Linked DNA regions of Xenopus tropicalis. The protein of the gene in region 2 interacts with the protein of the main gene of each other region in a pairwise test. Links are inferred from orthologs where the notes say so. Each region holds a gene or a part of one and is shown on either strand. Other genes may lie near its edges.

Region 1 (3,961 bases), on a different chromosome or scaffold from region 2:
AAACTGGAACAAAGAGCAGGACAGGTACAGTTTTAACTCTAGCCCTTCCACACCTAAACATACGCTTAAAATGGGTTGCATCATTTCAGTACTTAGGCTTTTACACACCCAGATCCCCACTGGCCTCGCCTGGGGTTCAGAAACTGTCTGACTTTGTGCCCAATGCATAATTCCCCACACATCAGGAACTGCAGGGGAAGCTACAGAACCCACAGGTGCATTTATGCAGTCCAGACATGCCCTAGTGGCACAATTTAACACTATAGTTCTCAAGGAAAACTCTAGCTAAACTCCAGTTTACAAACTACAGAGAAATTATGGAAACTGTCAACTCACCCTCTGACCAAGCCAACCACCTCTGGAAGCAGGCCATTCCAGGTCTCAATCAGAAGCAATGGGGTGAAGACACTACAGACACATCTTATGTCTGTCTTTTGTCGAAATTATCAGTACAAATATCTCCAACAAATGTATGTAACCTCCCTGGCACAAGACAGATCGTGGACCCAGTGGTTTGCTTACTAGGGGTGATAAATTATAAAGAAATAGATGACGTAGATGACAGTGTGCATTTGCCTTGCATCAAAAATGAAAAAATAAAATAAAATTTGGAAAAATAATGAAAAAATCCAAATAGCAGTGGATATGACTTAAACACCAGTCTGTGAGTTATAGGTAATAACCAATGAAAAACTAAAGAGTGAGATTAAAAAATCCAAGCAGCACTGAAGTACTTATTAGATAAAAATATAACCTTTATTAGGCATTAAACAAACCAGGCTTTATAAATCCTAAGGGGCACTTACTTACAGGATAAAAGTCACATCCCTTGTACAAAGTTTTTATATAACCAATCACAATACAAAGTACAACAGCCAATACAAACAATCATAGGAAGGTACCAAAGGTAAAAGACCAATCAAAATGGTCTAAATAATTAACCAATCAGGTGCTGACCCATACTCAAAGCACAAATCACTTTAGTGTGCCTGTATATCCTGCTAAGGAAAAGGAGTAGAGTGAAAAGGTTAGAGAGAAAGGAGGAGAGGGAAAAGGTACAATTATGTGAAGCAAGTTAAACACATTATAGGCCATATGATATGAGAAGCAGAAAAGAGCTGAGCAGAAAAAAAATCTTAAAAGAAGAAGTATGAAAAATAAAGTAAAAACAGCAGCAGGGTAGAATATATAACAATTAAAAGACCATTTTTTTTAATGTAGATGTTTGTGCTAAAAAATAAAACACTGCACTGTATTTATTATGTTCTAAATGACTGACTGAACCATTGAAAAGCAAGTTTATCTGAAGGAGCAGGTTTCATCATTTTCACTATTGAGACCAAGTGGGTTTTCTAGTCTGTAATTGAAAGATCCAAAGTCTCCAGTTGTAATAATCTAGGCACTACAACAAATTGTCGATTCATCCACTTCAGTCAGCAGCTTATCTACCTGTGTTTGGGGCCTCCTGACTGGCCTACCTGACCAATATCTGGCCAACAATCAGTCACATATCAAACAGGTTTTAAAATCCTGTCAAAAAGAGGACTGCATCGTCATGTATCCCCGCTGTAGTGATCCAGCTCAAAGCTGTCCTACACTAAAATATCTGCTTGTATGGCAAGGTCATCAAAAAGCAGATTTTTCCACGATATACCCACCTCAAGTTTGGCATATAGGATTGATCCAATTGTTTGGATTGAGGGCCAAACGTTCAAATCACATTAAAGGGATGCAGACCATCAGGTTGAGGGCCACATCAATGAGCCAATGCGCTCCTTGCCCGAAGGGGTATTTTAAACTACTTAATCGACATCCGCCCAATTTTCACTGCGAGCTGCACGTAAAATCACTTTCATTAAAGGTACTTGCGCGTCATTAAATGACTCCTCATATCTGTTATGGAAGCAGTCATTTTGACTTCATACATGGTCCAATTGGCTGCTCAGTTGGCTAGACCCAGTTTAATCTAAATAACTTTCACACTGGTCAACTGCCATTTTGGACTCACTCTAAATTAATCTAATCCAGGTTCATATTGTTTGACAAGCAGAGCACAGTGTTAGTAAACCCCAGAGTTTAGGCATCTCACACAAATTGGTTTGTGTGTGCCAGACCAGTATAATTCCCTACAGTGCGCAGCCACCACCTTCTTGCCTGCTCCTAGGTACCCCTTGGCACATGCGCACTACAGTTACAGATGAATACACTCTGCACATGTATCTGCCTAGCAAATGGACAGCCCCTAATGATTTTAGTTTCATTTATATGAGGAAGTGGTGCAGGTAGTACTACTGACATAGCCCATAAAATAAAATATTACAGTGCCCAGAGGCAAATGTCATTACAGGTGCACAATGCTAGTAGTGATGATAGCCACGCAGCGTCCTATTTTCTGGCTGCTTTTAAATGAAAACTTAATTATCGTTCCTATTACGCTTGCGCAGTATAAAGTCTGCGCTGCTAGTCACTCTGTCCGCAAAAAGAAGTCTAGATTACCCGCAAATCAGCCGAAGTTCTGCAGCAGTTTCCTCAGTACAGCCAAGATCCTGGGCCACATAGCTATTATCCTGTATAGGCCCGGCGTCCGCGGCTAAGGTCAAATCACAACTCTGTAACCTTTCTCGCCACAAGTCCCCGAAGGAACCTAAATGAATCAGGCGCGTGTTCGCATCAGTTACTTCATACACCGGAATGTTTTCATCCATTGTCCTGCCGTATTCAACCCCGTTTTCGGAACGTCCATTCGGACGAAATGCATCCTGGGCATTGTAGTACTTGTTTCCATTTGGCGACAGCACTGGGAGGCGTGAAATAGACTACAAGTACCAGCAGGCCTCCGAGCACTATTGAACTGTTGACTGACAACGTAAGCGTAAGAGTTTTTTTTTTTTTTGTAAAGTGGTGACATTATTTGGTTTCAAATCGTTCCGTACATCAAACCAAAAATCAAAATGTGGGTTAGGTGATTTTATAATGTTTGTGCTAAGCTTAAAGCTAAGACGCCTGTGGTTTAGCTATGGTGTATTGCGAATCACCTGTTCTATATTTTTCATCAACCATATCATGTTTAATTCTATGAAGTGGTTGTTTAGTTTTAAAGTAACTTGTAGTATGTTGTAGGAAGTTCTTTTAAGAGACAATTTGCAATTGATCTTCATTTTTATTGTTTGTGGTGTTTAAATTATTTAGCCTTATATACAGCAACTCACCAGTTTGGTTGCTAGGGTCCAATTAACCATAGCAGCTAGGCAGTGGCTTAAATGAGAAACTGGGTCTGAATAGAAAGATAATAAAAGAAAGTAATAAAAAGTAACAATAACAATGAAATTGTAGTCTCACAGAGGAATAGTTTAACTGTCAGGGTCAGAGACACCCTTTTGAAAGATGGAAAGAGTCCGAAGAGGAAAGCAAATAATTCAAAAGTTATAAAAATAAAAAATGAAGACCAATTGAAAAGCTGGAAAGAAGTGCCCATTCTGTAAAATTTTAAAAGTTAACAAAAAACAATTTCCTGGGGGTGGGAAAAGGAAAATATTATCATACTTAACCCAATTTTTGTTTCCCAAAAAGACTAAAACTCCCCTTCCTGGAAATGCCAAATTTATAAAAGGACCTTCCCTTCCCATCTGCTCCATCTCATCTGACTAAAAGACTATCCCCCCTACTAAGAGGGTTGGGAAGTCATTGTCCACTACGATGTTTGAGTCCAGTAAATGAAAATAATGATAGAATGATATAGTTTTCCTGTTCCTTCCACATTTGTAATGAACAACACAAGGATATACCAAAGCTCTGACACACAAGGGTTGGTATTATACACTATAGCAGTGTGCAGTACAGATTGACCAAAGGAAGCAATGTCGGTGTCCAATATCATGAAAAATAGCAAGTATTTTTTTGTTTGTTATTTAGAGCTCTAAATCTTGTTCCAGAATTAAAAACTGTCTGGCACTGAACATAA
Region 2 (3,500 bases):
GCTGTTCCCTTACTTCCTGGAACTTCCCTTAATATCTTGGAATATCTAAAAAAAAGTTACGAATGTAAAATGCGAAAGTGCTTAGAACAGCACTCTCATCAGTTATCCATTTACTTATTGGTGAAGCAAAGGGGCAAATGTATAAAAAAGGAAAAGGAATTTTCACCCAGCTAAGCCATGTCCTCCTAGTAATGTGTCTGTGGGGGGACTGAGTACTCACCCGCTACAATAACTTACACTGCTTTCCTTATTCATTCTTGGCCGGACTGGGACACAAAATGGGCCCTGGTATTTCAGTTACACAAAGTTAACTGCTCCCCACCAGGCCACTAGCTGGATACTAGCCCCACCAGACCACCAGCCCAGATACTAGCCCCACCAGGCCACTAGCTGGATGCTAGCCCCACCAGGCCACTAGCCCGGATACTAGCCCCACCAGGCCACTAGCTGGATACTAGCCCCACCAGGCCACTAGCTGGATACTAGCCCCACCAGGCCACTAGCTGGATACTAGCCCCACCAGGCCACTAGCTGGATACTAGCCCCACCAGGCCACTAGCCCGGATACTAGCCCCACCAGGCCACTAGCTGGATACTAGCCCCACCAGGCCACTAGCTGGATACTAGCCCCACCAGGCCACTAGCTGGATACTAGCCCCACCAGGCCACTAGCCGGATACTAGCCCCACCAGGCCACTAGCCTGGATACTAGCCCCACCAGGCCACTAGCCCGGATACTAGCCCCACCAGGCCACTAGCTGGATACTAGCCCCACCAGGCCACTAGCTGGATACTAGCCCCACCAGGCCACTAGCTGGATGCTAGCCCCACCAGGCCACTAGCTGGATGCTAGCCCCACCAGGCCACTAGCCCGGATACTAGCCCCACCAGGCCACTAGCTGGATACTAGCCCCACCAGGCCACTAGCTGGATACTAGCCCCACCAGGCCACTAGCTGGATACTAGCCCCACCAGGCCACTAGCTGGATACTAGCCCCACCAGGCCACTAGCCCGGATACTAGCCCCACCAGGCCACTAGCTGGATACTAGCCCCACCAGGCCACTAGCTGGATACTAGCCCCACCAGGCCACTAGCTGGATACTAGCCCCACCAGGCCACTAGCTGGATACTAGCCCCACCAGGCCACTAGCCTGGATACTAGTCCCACCAGGCCACTAGCCTGGATACTAGCCCCACCAGGCCACTAGCCCGGATACTAGCCCCACCAGGCCACTAGCTGGATACTAGCCCCACCAGGCCACTAGCTGGATACTAGCCCCACAAGGCCACTAGCCCGGATACTAGCCCCACCAGGCCACTAGCTGGATACTAGCCCCACCAGGCCACTAGCCTGGATACTAGCCCCACCAGGCCACTAGCTGGATACTAGCCCCACCAGGCCACTAGCTGGATACTAGCCCCACCAGGCCACTAGCTGGATACTAGCCCCACCAGGCCACTAGCTGGATACTAGCCCCACCAGGCCACTAGCTGGATACTAGCCCCACCAGGCCACTAGCCCAGATACTAGCCCCACCAGGCCACTAGCTGGATACTAGACCCACCAGGCCACTAGCTGGATACTAGCCCCACCAGGCCACTAGCCCGGATACTAGCCCCACCAGGCCACTAGCTGGATACTAGCCCCACCAGGCCACTAGCCCGGATACTAGCCCCACCAGGCTGAGCCTGATACTTACACACCAGGCACACAAACTATGCAATTCTCTCAGGTATATCCTTACAAAAAGCCTTGCTCTGAATCCTATGGCACATGTGTTGGAGCAGTAATATCCCTCAGTGTGCACCCACCCAGGGACACTACTACTTGGTTATTCCATGAACAACAAAGGTATCAATGCATGCTCATTGTGCAGAGGTTACCTGTTAATTCTCACATTGTGCCGACTCTCATCCACCGCCATTGCCTTTGTCATTGCTGTGACTGCACCCTGTACATATATAAATCCAGGTAAGCATCAGTCAAGGGAACAGTATTGGTTCAATTTAATTGTCACGCTACAGCTTCCAGCATCCATAAAGGAGAACCCACTCTTACAAGATGGCAGGAGAAGACATACCTTTGTGGCCACGTAAGGGATAGCGTGTTTCTGACCAATGATACCAACCAGGCTGGATATATTGATGATGTTCCCTTGTGTTTTCCTCAGGTGCGGCAGAGCATACTGAAACACATCAAGAGCCATTTTTAAGGAAGAACAGATGAAAGGATTTCCTGCACATGAAAGAAAACTTGCATAAAAGTACATTAATGGATATTATTATTATTATTATTATGCAGTCACCTTGTAGGTTATATAGTAAGGTGATTAAGGGTTTGCCCCACCCCAGTAGCAGCCAATCAAGCATAAGCTTTTTATGGTCTTGTAAAATTAGGCAAACATTAATATGTACAGCCAGGATAAACTCCAGGGTATCAGGGGCTAAAATACCCTGACTCTAATTATAGTCTATATTGAGCAGCAAATAGTAACGTATAAGAGGCGTAAAAGCAAATATGCAGGTCTGTTCTGTGAAATGAAATGCAAACTCAAGAGTGAGTAAATATGGTAAATATGGAGTAAGTAAATATATCTTAGGTTTAACAAGCTAATATGTGACTGGAGTTTGCCCGATCTCTGTTGTATATTAACAGACCAAAGCTGATGTGCATCTAAGGCCTATAGTGCGGAGAAGGCTAAAAAAAAATAATCAGCATCTCTTCAAAAAGCAATAGCTTACAGGGAGCAAGGAGATGCACTTCTCAATCTCAATCCAAGTCATGCCAATCACAGCCCTTATTTGGCAACACCCTGCAAATTCCTTATGTTTGTGTGGCTCGTCATCACTTTTACATCTGAGTGTGGCTTATGAGTAAAAAAGGTTGAGGGTCCCTGTGTTAAAGAAAGGGTGATGTGGGAAAAAAGCAATGGAGAAGACAGTAGTTGACAGTAGTTGCAATGTCACACAGGGAGATTAGTCGCCCATGGTTAAATCTTGGCTACCATGGGCAACAAATCTCCCCATGGGCAATAAAGTAAATCGCCGGTGGGGTGCATATGTGGTGCTTCATCTCCACCCTGCACTGGAAACTTCAGAAAAAAAAGCGTCTTCCCACCAGCGATTCTCTTTATTGCTGGCGGAAAGGCATTTTAGGGGATTAGTTGCCCGCAGTAGCAGAGATTTAACCGTGGGCAACTAATCTCCCTGTGTGCCATTGCAATAAAAAAGTAAATGTGAACAATAAAGCCCAATATTATCATGTTCACTATTCAGCAAATATTGATTGGAATGCAGTGCAGTTTATGATGTGATCAAATATATCCGATATTGTTCATTCTTACAGTATACTGTATAAGTACAAGGTTGCTCTTCTCTATTTAAACTGTAATAAAATAAAAAGTTTTAATGTTGTACATGGAAAGTGTCTCTTTCTTCTCTTTTTAAAAAATACTACCCACTATGCTTATTATACAGATATCCTAAACTCATTGCTCT
Region 3 (4,287 bases), on a different chromosome or scaffold from region 2:
CCACACATGGACTGAAAATCATACAAAATGTAGTACTGGTTTGGCCAGCTTAAGTCTTAGTGAGATCTTAAGCAATAAGGAGGCAATGTAATCAAAATGGCAACTAGATCTAGTAACCCATAGCAACCAATCTGCAGGTAGTGCTTACTAAATTAGGATCTTGAATACAATAGGCCTCGAGACTGGTTACTGTTACAGGTTAGTCTTTATTTTTTTTTTTTTTTATACAAATAACCTTCACACAACATGCACCATAAAACAACTATAAAACTTTGCCAGCTCGGTTAAAAAAAAAGGTAATTCCCCTCTAAACACCCTTAACCGAACACAGATCTAAAAGGTGCCCATACACGTGAAGATTCGCTCGCTTGGCGAGGTCGCCAAGTGAGCAGATCTTCAACCAATATCCACACCTACAGGTGGCAATATCAGGGAACATGTAGGCCAATTCAATCGTTTAGCTCTGGGGCCAAACAATCTAATTATAATGGCGGCAATGGGGCAGTCAGTTCGGGGACCGCATCTTTTAACTGGCCCGATCGATATATGGCCAATTTGGGGCAGATATCGGTCGGGTATGGCCGTCACTTCTGCCCCTACAGGAGCCGATAAGCTGTCATATCGGTCCAAGGGACCAATATCAGCAGCTACAATCGGCCCATGTATGGGAACCTTTAGTGTGGGAATGGACCCAAGCGGAATTATACAGGGATTTTTTTGGCCGCTGTAATCTGCTCTACTGCAAGCAACAAAACTTCACTAGGTTTTCCCACCATTAATTCATATTACTGCCGCTGGGAAGGAAATTTGGGATATTTTGTCAGCTGGAGCAGCGCAGATTTAGCAAAGGGGAACAAAATGTTTGTGACATTGCCCTGAAGGAAAGCAGCCTGTATTTATATTCAGTTAAACAAATGGACATTAAACAAGATAGTGATTGGTTTCATTTTATCATCTTGTTGTTGGTTCTACAGTCACTCTCAGCACCTGTTTAACTATGGGTGCCTTGTAATATCCATTTTGTGAGTAAAGGTGGCCATACACAGGCAGATTTAAGCAGTCAATTCAAGCTCTTTGGACTCTTCAGAAAGAGCATTTAGTTAATTGTTAAAGACTCTGCCCATGACTTTAATTTTGCTCTTAAATATTTTAGTTCAGTTTGGCCAGGGGGGTGGAAGCCTAAATTTCATCTGGCATGTGCAATTTCTATAGTTTTAGATTCTACCATCTACAATAATATAGGGCAGGTAATGGATCACCAACTTACATCCCGTGAGAGGAAAATTGAGGAAATTGAGCAGCAGAAAATGGAAACATAAGAAATCACGACAGCTTGGATAACTGAATTGCCGTTTGTTTTGGCCAGCAGTGTTCCATTGTCCTATTCTGTGACAAGCTCTATCAAATGATGTATATGGTATGCTCCAGTGTTTAGGAGATAAGGAATCATTAACAGACAGTCCTTGGAAAAGGGCAAATGAATATGCCTGTAGGACAAGCATTTTATTACTGGTCTGTGCCTGTACTCTCCTTTATCGGGTTTAATAAATGCCTTGGCTGATTTCAACCCCCCTGGTTGCCTTACAGCAGCACCAGGAGTGGGATAAAGTTAAATGGCTATGAAGTCAGGCAATACACGCACCGATAATATACGATATTTGGTGCGTGTATGGCAACTCGGCAAGGCGACAGATATCGCAGAAGGTTGCGGATATCGGTCGACACTCCAGTCGGGAGCCATTGAAGGCGTCTGAGCAAAATCTGCCTTCAGGGCTGAATCGACAGAAGGAGGTAGAAATCCTGTTGTTTGTACCTCCATATCTGCCGTTTCAGCCCTGAATGTCAGCGGAGGGTTGGAACGATCTTTTGTGCGACCACCATGTGGCCAGCTTTAGTGCTTAATCTATGCCAGCTGCTGTGTGATGGGAGTCACATTGGGGTCCGGACAGCTGGAGAGTGGGATCTGCTGCTGGGCTGCTGTGTCTGCCTGGCTGCTCCAGCTGAGAGACAACAGGGAGGAAGGGAGGGGGAGCCACCGCTGTATTGTAATCCTGGGCTCTGTAACCGGCAGCAGTGCGAGAGTGGGCTCTGGGACAGGCTTAACCAGCACTGACTGGCCCTGCCTCCACTCATTCATAAGCCTCAGATACCTGGGATGCCGTAGGTTCTAGAACTGAGCACTCTTTGCCCTTTTGGTCCCATATAGATTGTAAGCTCTACGGGGCAGGGACCTCGTTCATCTTGTTTCTGACTCTTATTGCAACTGTACCTTGTATTTATTTGTATTTATTGTTATACTTTGTATTTATCCATTATCTTTAACCCCCTGTTTGTATTAATGTATTCTACTGTACAGTGCTGCGTACATAAGTAGCGCTTTATAAATAAAGACATACATACATACATACATACATTTCGCCCCAACCAACAAAACAGACTCTAAAGAAATTATAGAGCATCTCCCCTAATGGACCATACCAGAACGAACAGTCTTACCAGTATCAACACTAAAGATGAACTACATCTCTCATCTTATAGACTCAGGCTCTGCACAGCGTTGGAATAATAAAATGGTCACAAAAAAACGTCACTGTGCGCTTGCCTTACTAGAGCCGGATTAAAGGCACACATAGGAGATGCCGATACCTATGTCCAAAACTCGCTGTAATCAATATGAACACAAGAAATAACAATACCTTTCTCCACGTAGGGTCTGTTCTCTTTTGACAAATAAAGCGACAGCGTGAGCTGGTTTGTGGTTGCACGTTAAGAGACTGTGGGCTCATGTTAAACATCGTCTGCGTCTTCAGCAAAACGACTGAGGATATGTGCGAAGAAGCCGCGTTATATAGCTCGCTGCCTTAGCCAATCAGATCGTCGATCCCAATCTAGCGTACACGACCCTTATCCTATTGCTTCCTCATTCGCCTCTAGCCAGACGTTCCGGGGAGGACTTCTATTGCCAGCCCCCAGGTGCCTTCTACAGCCAATTAGAAGGCTAGCTGAAAAAGCATAACGAGGTATGAAACGCAGAGGCCCGTCAACCGGAAGCCTAAAGGCGGAGACACTTGGGTATGCTGTTGTGCAGTCAGAGGGTGTGTTGCGGAAGTGTTTTGTTGGAAATCACGAGACGAGAGTGAGTCATAGTGGGTGATGCAAGAGCTGGCAAGCTGGGGCCAAGCCTTCCCCCAACCCGAGGGACTTTCCAAGCTTGCTTTTCACCTTCAGGTTGTACGACCTTGTCCGCAACCTGGTTTTATCATAAGAAAGCAACATAAATAGCGAGAACTAAACCTAAAGAAGTAATACAGAGAGATATAAAACCTGCGTTGCTAGAAACAACTAGCGACTAATCCTAACGCCAAAATTGTATAAGGTGCCGGGTTTTTTATCGTTCCAATTATTTAAAGCAATTTCACTTTAGAAATGTAGCTGGCTAGTATACCAACTAAAACACACAGGGGCATATTTATTATAGTGTATAAGCCAGCATGACTTGAGGCGATAGCAACCAATGAGATATTTGCTTTTGTTTCTAACTTGTGATTATTAAAATCTAATTGCTTATTGGTTGCCATGGGCAACATTACCTGTCATGTTGGCTTACACACTGAAATAAATATGCTTCTTAATACCACCTTATAATGTATCTAATTATACAGTTCATTACTCAAAAATAATTTTATTCCAGTTTGCCATGTACATAATGAATACATCTTTATTTAAAAAAAAAAAATCCATGAAAAGTCTATATTAAAAAACCTGTACAAAATATGTATGAAAAAAATCATGAAAAACAATGGAATCCTTAGGTGTAATAGAAGTTAATGTGGTCAAATGAAGTCACTTGATAGTGTCAATGTAGATGGACAGCGGATGTTAGCTGAACAGCATCAATTTAAAATAGCAAAAATACTAAGGTGAAAATATTGAAGCAGTAACAGGTGGGATGGTGGTTTTCCTGATGGAAAAACGAGTTATTTAAGCATTGACTGTTTTAATTACTGAGGCTAGTGCTAGGCATTGGGTATAGATGTATAACTCTTTAATGTACCACCACTCTTTAAATTTGCTGCTTCTCTGCTGTATCTAAAATTGTTGTGCATTGCACCATTATCATCATTCATTTATTTAACCAAATTTGAGGTTATTAAACTGGAAAGGCGCCTCTTCTAGTGAGAAAGTGCTATTGGGCAAATGGGTGACACAAGAGTAACACTCACCCCTTTATCCCTGGTAACCAGTAAGTCACACAGTGCTTTCCTCCCTGCTTTCCATCAGCATGTG

The links.
Region 1: the proteins of hsd17b14 (region 2) and snapc3 interact in binary tests that used the Homo sapiens proteins (3 or more experiments, as listed by UniProt). The two-hybrid records come from large-scale screens. The link is inferred for Xenopus tropicalis from reciprocal best matches to the Homo sapiens genes HSD17B14 and SNAPC3.
Region 3: the proteins of hsd17b14 (region 2) and ddit3 interact in binary tests that used the Homo sapiens proteins (3 or more experiments, as listed by UniProt). The two-hybrid records come from large-scale screens. The link is inferred for Xenopus tropicalis from reciprocal best matches to the Homo sapiens genes HSD17B14 and DDIT3.

What each region holds. Positions count from the first base shown.
Region 1 is NC_030677.2:123,988,930-123,992,890, forward strand, and holds the start of snapc3 (snRNA-activating protein complex subunit 3), read right to left. Parts: upstream 2,801-3,961; 5' UTR 2,706-2,800; coding exon 2,497-2,705; intron 1-2,496.
Region 2 is NC_030683.2:114,399,271-114,402,770, forward strand, and holds part of hsd17b14 (17-beta-hydroxysteroid dehydrogenase 14), read right to left. Parts: intron 2,189-3,500; coding exon 2,084-2,188; intron 1,955-2,083; coding exon 1,887-1,954; intron 1-1,886. UniProt on the Homo sapiens protein: Catalyzes the NAD(+)-dependent oxidation of L-fucose, yielding L-fucono-1,5-lactone, which rapidly converts spontaneously to L-fucone-1,4-lactone. Can also act on D-arabinose and L-galactose, with lower catalytic efficiency. Does not use NADPH.
Region 3 is NC_030678.2:140,584,251-140,588,537, forward strand, and holds the start of ddit3 (DNA damage-inducible transcript 3 protein), read right to left. Parts: upstream 2,801-4,287; 5' UTR 2,697-2,800; intron 1-2,696. UniProt on the Homo sapiens protein: Multifunctional transcription factor in endoplasmic reticulum (ER) stress response. Plays an essential role in the response to a wide variety of cell stresses and induces cell cycle arrest and apoptosis in response to ER stress.